Linked DNA regions of Cricetulus griseus. The protein of the gene in region 2 binds, or shares a complex with, the protein of the main gene of each other region. Links are inferred from orthologs where the notes say so. Each region holds a gene or a part of one and is shown on either strand. Other genes may lie near its edges.

Region 1 (4,116 bases), on a different chromosome or scaffold from region 2:
GTGAGACCAACCACCATCTGAGAATCTGACATCCTCCAGCATCTCCAGACATACAGCCCTGTTCTCAAGACTTAAGTATTACTTAGTGATCAGCACTTGGAAGGCAGAGTCAGGCAGAACTCTGTGAATTCTAGGACAACCAGGGCTACAAGAGAAACCTTGTCCTGAAAAAAAAAAAACCAACTAACCAACCAACCAACCAGCCAACCAACCAAACACCCCACCCCACCCCCCCAAAAAAAACCAACCCAACCAACCAACCAAATTTATAAAAGAAAGAAAAGAATCACTGTTTTTAGGGTTGATGGTATCCAGGCCAGGCTGCCACAGACTGCCTCCACAGGGCTAGCTCGAGGTTCAGGCAGCCAATTTAAACAAACCACACACACATACACACCATACCTAACACCGTGCTGCCTCCAGTGAATTGGGTATAGGGCTTACTGGTACCATAAAAATAAACATTCACTTAGAGAGTATTTTAGGAGTGTAATAATTAGGGAATTGAATATTTCCCCAAAGAGCACTTTAAATCTGCTATATTCTGTTACTATCATATCCAAGAACAAAAGCTATTTGGGCACTTAGAAGTTGGGGGAAACATGGGTTGGAGGGATGGCTCAGTGGTTAAGAGGTTCCCAGCACCCATGGCAGGTGGCTCACAACTGCTTGGAACTCCAGCTCCAGGGGAATCTGAGACCCCCTAGTCTCCTCTAGCACCTGCCTCCACCTGCACAGACCCACACACAGAGACATAATTAAAAATAATTTAAAAATTTAAAGTTAGGGAAAACATCATAGAAGCAACACTGCTGTGATCCACATCTCATTTTATGAAATAACCAGATCACCCCTTAGAATTTCAGTGTTACTCTCATCAGTGGCTGTTCACTGAACATCTTCAATAGGAAGCAAATACTAACAATAAAACCCAATCCCTCCCATTTCATTGCTCGCAGAATAAGACTATGTGCTTACAGAGGCTTCACTTAAATATGTACCTAGTCATTCATAAGCAAACACCTGCATGTAAACAATGAAATTCAGAAACCAAATGGTGTTAGAGCCCAGTTCTCAAATAACCGGCATGGACACATGGAAAAGAGGTCAGAAGACCAGACAATGATAGGCTCAACCTGCTCTGCCCTGCAGTACTTCCTCAACCCAAGCAAGGGCACACATCCAAGCTTTCCCATGCCTTTATTCTACCTCCCCACCCTCCCACACCCTGGCAGGTGAAAACTCCTAGCCTCTAAAAACCTTGTGTGTCTACAGATGCTGCCACTCCCTCCTTTTGAGCTCCCTCCCTCCCTTCCTTCCTTCCTTCCTTCCTTCCTTCCTTCCACTGTCTGTCTGTCTCTCTCAAAAAAAAAAAAAAACAAAAAAAAAAAAAAGAAAAAAGAAAACCTGATGAAAACCCCCCAAGACACCTGTCATTTTTTGCCTTGTGTTTGCCCATGTCTTGTCTCTACACCTAGCTTGGAATGTACATGATCTACACATGCAGAGGAAGTAAGAGATCCATTTTTTAAAAAGAGACTTTTTAAAAAGTGGTATTACAAACACACACAGAGTATTATTCAACCATAAAAAAACAAAAGTATGTCATTTGCAGGAAGAAGTCATAAAAATAAACATGCTTTCTCTCATGCGGAATCTCAACTTTTTTAAATTTTTATTTTTATTTATTTTTTGAATCTCAACTTTTAAGAAGGGAGAATTCGGGGCTGGAGAGATGGCTCATAGGTTAAGAGCACTGGTTGTTCTTCCAGAGATCCTGAGTTCAATTCCTAGCAACTACATGGTGGCTCACAACCATCTATAATGAGATCTGGTGCCCTCTTAAGGCCTGCAGGCAGGACACTGTATACATAATAAATAAGTCTTTTAAATAGAGTTCCAGGCTGCGAGATGGATCAGCAGGGTAAAGGCACTTACTTGTCAAGACTTGAGTTCAATCCCTCCCACAAGCTGTACAACCTCCACACATGCATATATACGTAAATAAATATGTTTTAGAGAAGAGAGAGTCAGAGACAAGAAAATATTGCAGGGTACTATCAAGAAGGCCGGGAGACAACAGTAGTAGGGGAATAAAAGGAAAGGATGGGGAAATGAATACAATTCAAGTACTGGGGGGGGGGGGGTCCGTGAAAATGTCCTAACGAAGCCCGTTATTATGTACAATTAACATACGTTTTCAAAAGACACCCAAATCCAACACTGACTTAAAAGTAAAGGCGCGATATCTACACGACTTCGGTAATCCCGGGTATCATCTGTTAACGAGTCCTAGCGTCTACATCCTATGGATAAGGAGGCCGCAGCTCTCAGCTCTTTGGTAGTGCTTAGTCTTAATTTATCTGTTGCTTTCGGGTAGTCAGAACTGTGCTGGGATCCACACTGCCGAGCAAGGCGCGCACCAAGGCTTGCTGGCCCCGGCGGCCCCAGCCCAGCGTGCAGCACCGCAGTGTTCTCAGCCCCCCGCCTGGGGCCGAGGGGCAGCGGCAGGGGCCCCGGGGGAGGGTCGCATACCTATTATGGGCACCTCGGCGATGAAGACCCTCCGAATGGAATTGGCCACCCTACAGGAGGAAAGCCAGACCGTGTGAGCGGCCCCGAAGCCACAGCCCCGCAGGGGGCCAGAGGACCCGCCCGCCCGCCTCTTTCCCGCCGCCTTACGCCAGGTCCGTGTTCTCGATGATGAATTTGACGTTCTCTTCGGTGAGTTCCGTGATCCGCACGGTTGGCTGGTTGGCGTACGGCATTGCGACCCGCAGCCAGTCTCCCGAGCCAGTCCCGCAGCGCGCCTGCGCCGCCACCAGCAATTTGTCGGCGGGGTCCCTGGCGCTTCCGGCTAGGCGTGCGCGCAGCGCCACCTGCTGACCGGAGGCCGAAACTCTCCTGGTCTGCGTTTTCTAACCACACTCTCCAAAATTTCTGCTTCCAAAAAGCACCAGGCCCTACACTCTTGGAATCCCCAAGATATATAGCACAAAGGTCAAAGGTACATGTACAGGGTTATTCATACCAGTGCTACTTACTTGTAATTGCTAAGAATAACTCATTAGGTAATGATGGATGGAGACTTGGTTAAACATACATACATATGGGGCTCAATGGTTAAGAGCACCGGCTGCTTTTCTGTAAGACTTGGATTGGATTCCCAGCGCCCGAATGGCGACTAATGCCTTTAACCCCAGTTTCTGGGGATCTGATGCCCTCTCCTGGCATGAAGGCACGAGGTATGCACATGGTGCACAGACATACATGCAAGCAAGACACCCGTATACATAAATAATTTAAAAAATATTCTATGCCTGTTATTCTTGGATCTGGATGTAAACAGCTCTCAGCTACTTCTCCAGCACCATGCATGCTGCCATGCTCCATGCTGCCATGATGATAATGAACTAAGCCTCTGAAACTATATGAAGCAAGGAGACATTTGACCAGTAGTAAGAGGGCTTCTCTTACTAATGTGAAAGAGAGATGGCAATTTGACACATTTGTTTGAGGGGGCATCTGCTGGTTTCTGGAAGAAGGATCAAGGTTCTAAAGATTCTCAGGGGAACCATGTGAAGATAATACAGTTCTTACCTCTCATCAAAGAAATTTTTCTTTGCAAAGGATGGAGACCATTACAAAAACAAAACATCAAGAACAACAACAACAAAAAAACCCACAACCAGTTAAAATTGCAGAGAACAAGAGACTGTTGTGTGCTCAGTCTCAACTGATACATCTGCAGCTAATTCAACACCCAAGGCTCAGGGATCCTTGAGGAAGGAGGAGTGGAATGACTGTAAGAACCAGAGGAACGTTACGTTTGCCGTGAGATTGTGTCTCCTAGAAATGTTACAAAGGCTACACACATCAAGTCTCACCAACATTACTGCCTAAATGAGGCTTGAACAACGACGCCAATGGACATGTTAACATGGAAGGGAGAGGGATCTCAACCCTACACAAAGAACCGGGGGATGCTGAAAGTGGTAGAAATAACCTTCCTCAGGGAAGAGCCCTGCAATGGGTTATCCAATATAATATCAAAAGCCCCAGGATCATATAAATACAGGTAACATTACAAGAATTGAACAGGTTGTATTCATGTAT
Region 2 (4,151 bases):
GTCCCTACTACCCATGCTTGGTTTAACCCCTGCCTGATCTCATACCCTTTCCAATTTCATACATGGGGAACTTTTTGTTCACTAGTCAGTTCCTGCTGATCCCCAGCAGCCTCATCAGTATTTAGTGATACAAAACTTGTGTGTGTGTGTGTGTGTGTGTGTGTCTGTCTGTCTGTCTGTCTGTCTGTCTGTCTGTCTGTCCCCAGCCCTTCAAGCCACTCCACTAAACTGTACACGGGGCATATTAATTTTAACTTGGTAGGACATTTTTCCAAGAGAACAGATGTTTTCATGTTTCAGAAATCAGTTCCCCCAAAATCTTCTCCTTAGAGATTCAAACACTTAGGTACAAACCGGGTTTCACTGTGGTTGAAAGAAAAAAGGGAAATGCTTCAATTCTAAAATTGAGCCAGTTTTTGTCTTTATTGCATAAAAGTCATTTAGATCTGTCCTTTCAAAACACAGTATCCCAAACTTTGAAACCAGCAAATGAGAGGCCACATGTGGCATCATCAGTGATTCACTGAAGGGTTCCTTTTAGGAAATACTAATTTTCTAGCACAGTATTAAGTAAATGGGGTGGATTTTTATGCTGGACCCCATGTTAACCTGGTACAATTAAAACCACCACCTGACCTTTAATTCTTAAAATCCAATTCAGGGCATGCCTCTCCACTTCAATGTATTGTGGGCATAAGATCTCACACGTAAGCGTCTGTCACTATTTCTTTGAAAAGCTTTGTGCCTTGGGGATTTGTATTAAGAAAACACGATGAAATGTTACAAGCTGTGATTTCTAACATTTCCTGGATACCTGATGAACAAAACACTGCCAAGCCCAAGTCCTCTGCGGGAGAAACATTTTAAATAATACATATACATATACATATATATATAAGCCGAGAATGTTGAAGGCACCTCTTCAAGGAAGATAAAAAGAACAATCACCCTATGTCACCTAAAATGGTTTACCATTAAACTCTCTATATAAAGGGTTTTTGTTTGTTTTGTTTTGTTTTTTTAAGGCCAAAACGCTGCAGCAATTCTGACCTACTTCCCACTACAAACAAAGGCGGCATATCCTAGCTGTTACAGTAATAACACTCGCGGATTCGAGAAAGCAGCTTCCCGGCTCGGAAGCGAAATTTCGGCGTGAAGGGAACCTAGAAATAAATTGAGCTCCGCATGCGGGCGCCTCTCGCTCGGGAGCACGCACCTCCCAGCCCCGCGCTCAGCAGCTCTCACTATTTAAAGCCGGATCTGGTGTTTAAATGGAGAGGCGGTGACGTAGGCCTGAAAAGCACCTTCCCATCCTGGCAGAGTCTATATTAGAGAGCGGCAATGGCTCTATATAAACAGGGCAGCCAAAGGGAGGAGGACCACAAGGCGCAGGCACTGAAATGCAGGGTAAGCGGCCGCAGCCATGATGGATCTACCCGAGTCGCCAACGGTACGGTGTCGGGCAGCAGCGAGCTGCTCTGCGGCGTTTGGGACCGGGCAAAAAAATTAAAAAAAAAAAGAAACAAAAGAATAAAACAAAAACACGTGTTTTATTTTCATAATTAAAAAAAATCAAGTTGGGGGTGGCCTAGTGATCACACTGCGTTGGTGACTATTGAAAAGGTTATTTCTTTATGTGACTGCTTTTTGCAAACCTACGTGGATCGCAAGGAACCAAAAAAGGGAGCGGCGGGAAGAAGTAGGCAAATTTCAAGGCGAATGCGTGGACACTTGGGCCAGTCACTGTAAGGCTTTGTTTGTTCTGGTGCTTTTGCTAGTCGTAGGTACCACGGGTTTTTTTTCTTTTTCTTTTTTTTTTTCTTTTTGCTTCCCCTTCGCCATTTTACCCACTGGGGAGGAACCGAGATAAGTGCTTTCCAACCTTCATTTTTTTTTTCCTCTGGTTTTTTTTTGGGGGGTAGGATTAGCAAAATCGGCCCCAGCGCAGGCTTTCCAAAGCACCACCTCCAGAGAGCCCCCGAAGGCACGCCGAACTTGGCAGCGTCCGAGCGGCTGGCTCCCCAGGCTCGTGGGGGGGGGATCGACCGACCCACGGCCGCTCCGCTCGGGGGCTGGCCGGGTCCGGGCCCCGCGTGGGGGTCGCCGCCCACCTGTCCTCGCCCCGGGGTCGGCAGCCAGGGCCCAACGGCCTGCGTGGCCCGCCCCCGCGGCGCTCCCGGCCCCGCCGCCCTCCGCCCGCCAGCCCTCGGCGCCCCCCGCCCGGTCAGGCCCGCGGCGGCAGCGGCAGAGGCGGAGGAGGACGGAGGGAACCGGGTGGGGAGCGCCGCCTCGCCCGGCCCGCCCCCGCCCGCCCCGGCCGTTGCCTGCCGCCGGAACCTTCGCAGCCCCCGCCGGCCACCGCACCACGTCCTTACCACGGTGTTTGTGTTTGCCGAGTTCGCCATTTCCACACACAACACAAACAAGAGGGAACGAGATTTAAAAAAAAAAAAAAAATTAAAAAAAAAAACTTAAAAAGAGACCCGGAGGGTGACCCAAGTCACCCGCAAGAGTGGGGCGAAAATTTGTTCAACAAAACCGATCCTGAGGGAGTCAAGAGGCGGGAGAGCAGGAGGAGGGGGGGCAACTCCTCCCGCGGCTAAAAGCCTCGAGAATCGCCCTCAGGAAAAGAAAAAAAAAAAAAAAAAGAAGAAGCCACGACCCCTCGGGGGTTAGGGGGCGTCGCCCGCTCCCCACTCGGCGCCGCGGAGGGAAACCAACACCGGTCACCGCTCCCAGCGCCGCCGCCGCCGCCGCTGCCGCCACCGGCTGCAGCTCCAGCCGTCCGGTCCGCCTGCTTCTCCCCTTTATATAGCGAGCCAACAAGCTGCGCGAGCCGCCGCCGCCGCCGCCGCTGCCGCCGAGACACAGGGCGGAGGCGGAGGGGCGGAAAGGGCGGGGCAGCGGGGGGCGGGGCCGAGCGCGAGACACCGCGAGAGCCGCGTGCGCACGCGCGCCGGGGCGTCGCTCGCCCCGGGGGCTGGGGCCGGTGGGCGGGGCCGCGGGGACTAGAGTAAAAGAAGGCGAGCCGCCGCCTTTTTTTTTTTCTTTTCCCTCCGCCCCGCCCGAGTCTCGCGTGATCACGTGGTCGGCACACGGGCGGAAGCGGCCCGCGGTGGTGTGCCGGGAGCGAGGTGGCCGGGAGGTGGGAACGGAGGAGGCTGGTTGAGTTAGTGTCCGCCACCCAGTCAAGAATTTGGGGGTACCTAACACGGCTTCGGGTGGGCGCCCGACGCCGCTGGATGGAGTAGCCTAGGGGGCGGCGGACTCTTTAGAGGGAGGAAGGGAGGGAGGGCGCGTCACGAGGTCCCGCTTCCGGGCCCCCGCGCGCTGGGGCTTGGGACAGTTTTAAATGCGGAGTCATCTTTGGATTCGTGAGCCCAGGTCAAACGGGGAGGAAGTTGGCGCCTCTTGCGAAGGACAGAGCGGTCTGCGAAGTTGTGTGCAAGTGGCAAGGAGATGAAAGCTTTGTGCTCATTACGCTCTCCACGTTCCGGAATTAGGAACTCCTGAAGGCGTTTTGAGCTGTTTGTCTCTACAGATTTAGGCTATAAAGTGGTTTGGTTTACCGTAAGTACCCCCCCCCCCCAGAGATTCAGCCTCTACCATCCCAGGTTCCCTAAATGACTTCTTAGTGTGGTGGAAAGGACGAAAAAGGAAAACGAACTCGGATACAACCCACCCGAGTGTGGACCACCCGTCAATCTTAACCGCTTCTGTTCTGTCACGTTAGCAAAGTAAAGGGATTTGCACATTGGCCAGCACATGGTGACTAACCACATCTGAAATCCATGCCCCTGACTCACCAACTTGCCTGGCCTGTCACTTAACAAGAGATCAGGCAGATTCTGCTTCTATCTTAGCATGCAATTATCAGCAGATGACCCTTGACATCCAACCAAATCCTGCCTCGGTATCAGTAGTTCACAGAACAGACTCCTGTTCGGTGGGCAGAATTTAAGTGACACTTTTCCTGGTCCCAGGGACTTGAGAACAAATAAAATGTAATGTGAAAGTGTGAAGTTTATATTCAAAAAGCAGATCTAATCGAGCTACGTCATACTATTCCGTGAAGCCAGTATGTGAATATCAAAAGACTAGCAGAGCAAGTAAAATGTATAGCCTGCTTGTGACCTCGGGGAAGGGATTAG

The links. The genes of interacting proteins can lie anywhere in the genome.
Region 1: Gtf2a1 (region 2) and Polr2c share a complex: the UniProt entries of both Homo sapiens proteins name them as parts of the TBP-based Pol II pre-initiation complex. The link is inferred for Cricetulus griseus from reciprocal best matches to the Homo sapiens genes GTF2A1 and POLR2C.

Annotation. Positions count from the first base shown.
Region 1 is NC_048596.1:171,079,506-171,083,621, reverse strand, and holds the start of Polr2c (DNA-directed RNA polymerase II subunit RPB3), read right to left. Parts: upstream 2,841-4,116; 5' UTR 2,769-2,840; coding exon 2,683-2,768; intron 2,586-2,682; coding exon 2,536-2,585; intron 1-2,535. UniProt on the Homo sapiens protein: Core component of RNA polymerase II (Pol II), a DNA-dependent RNA polymerase which synthesizes mRNA precursors and many functional non-coding RNAs using the four ribonucleoside triphosphates as substrates.
Region 2 is NC_048598.1:113,312,140-113,316,290, reverse strand, and holds the start of Gtf2a1 (transcription initiation factor IIA subunit 1), read right to left. Parts: upstream 2,827-4,151; 5' UTR 2,406-2,826; coding exon 2,376-2,405; intron 1-2,375. UniProt on the Homo sapiens protein: TFIIA is a component of the transcription machinery of RNA polymerase II and plays an important role in transcriptional activation. TFIIA in a complex with TBP mediates transcriptional activity.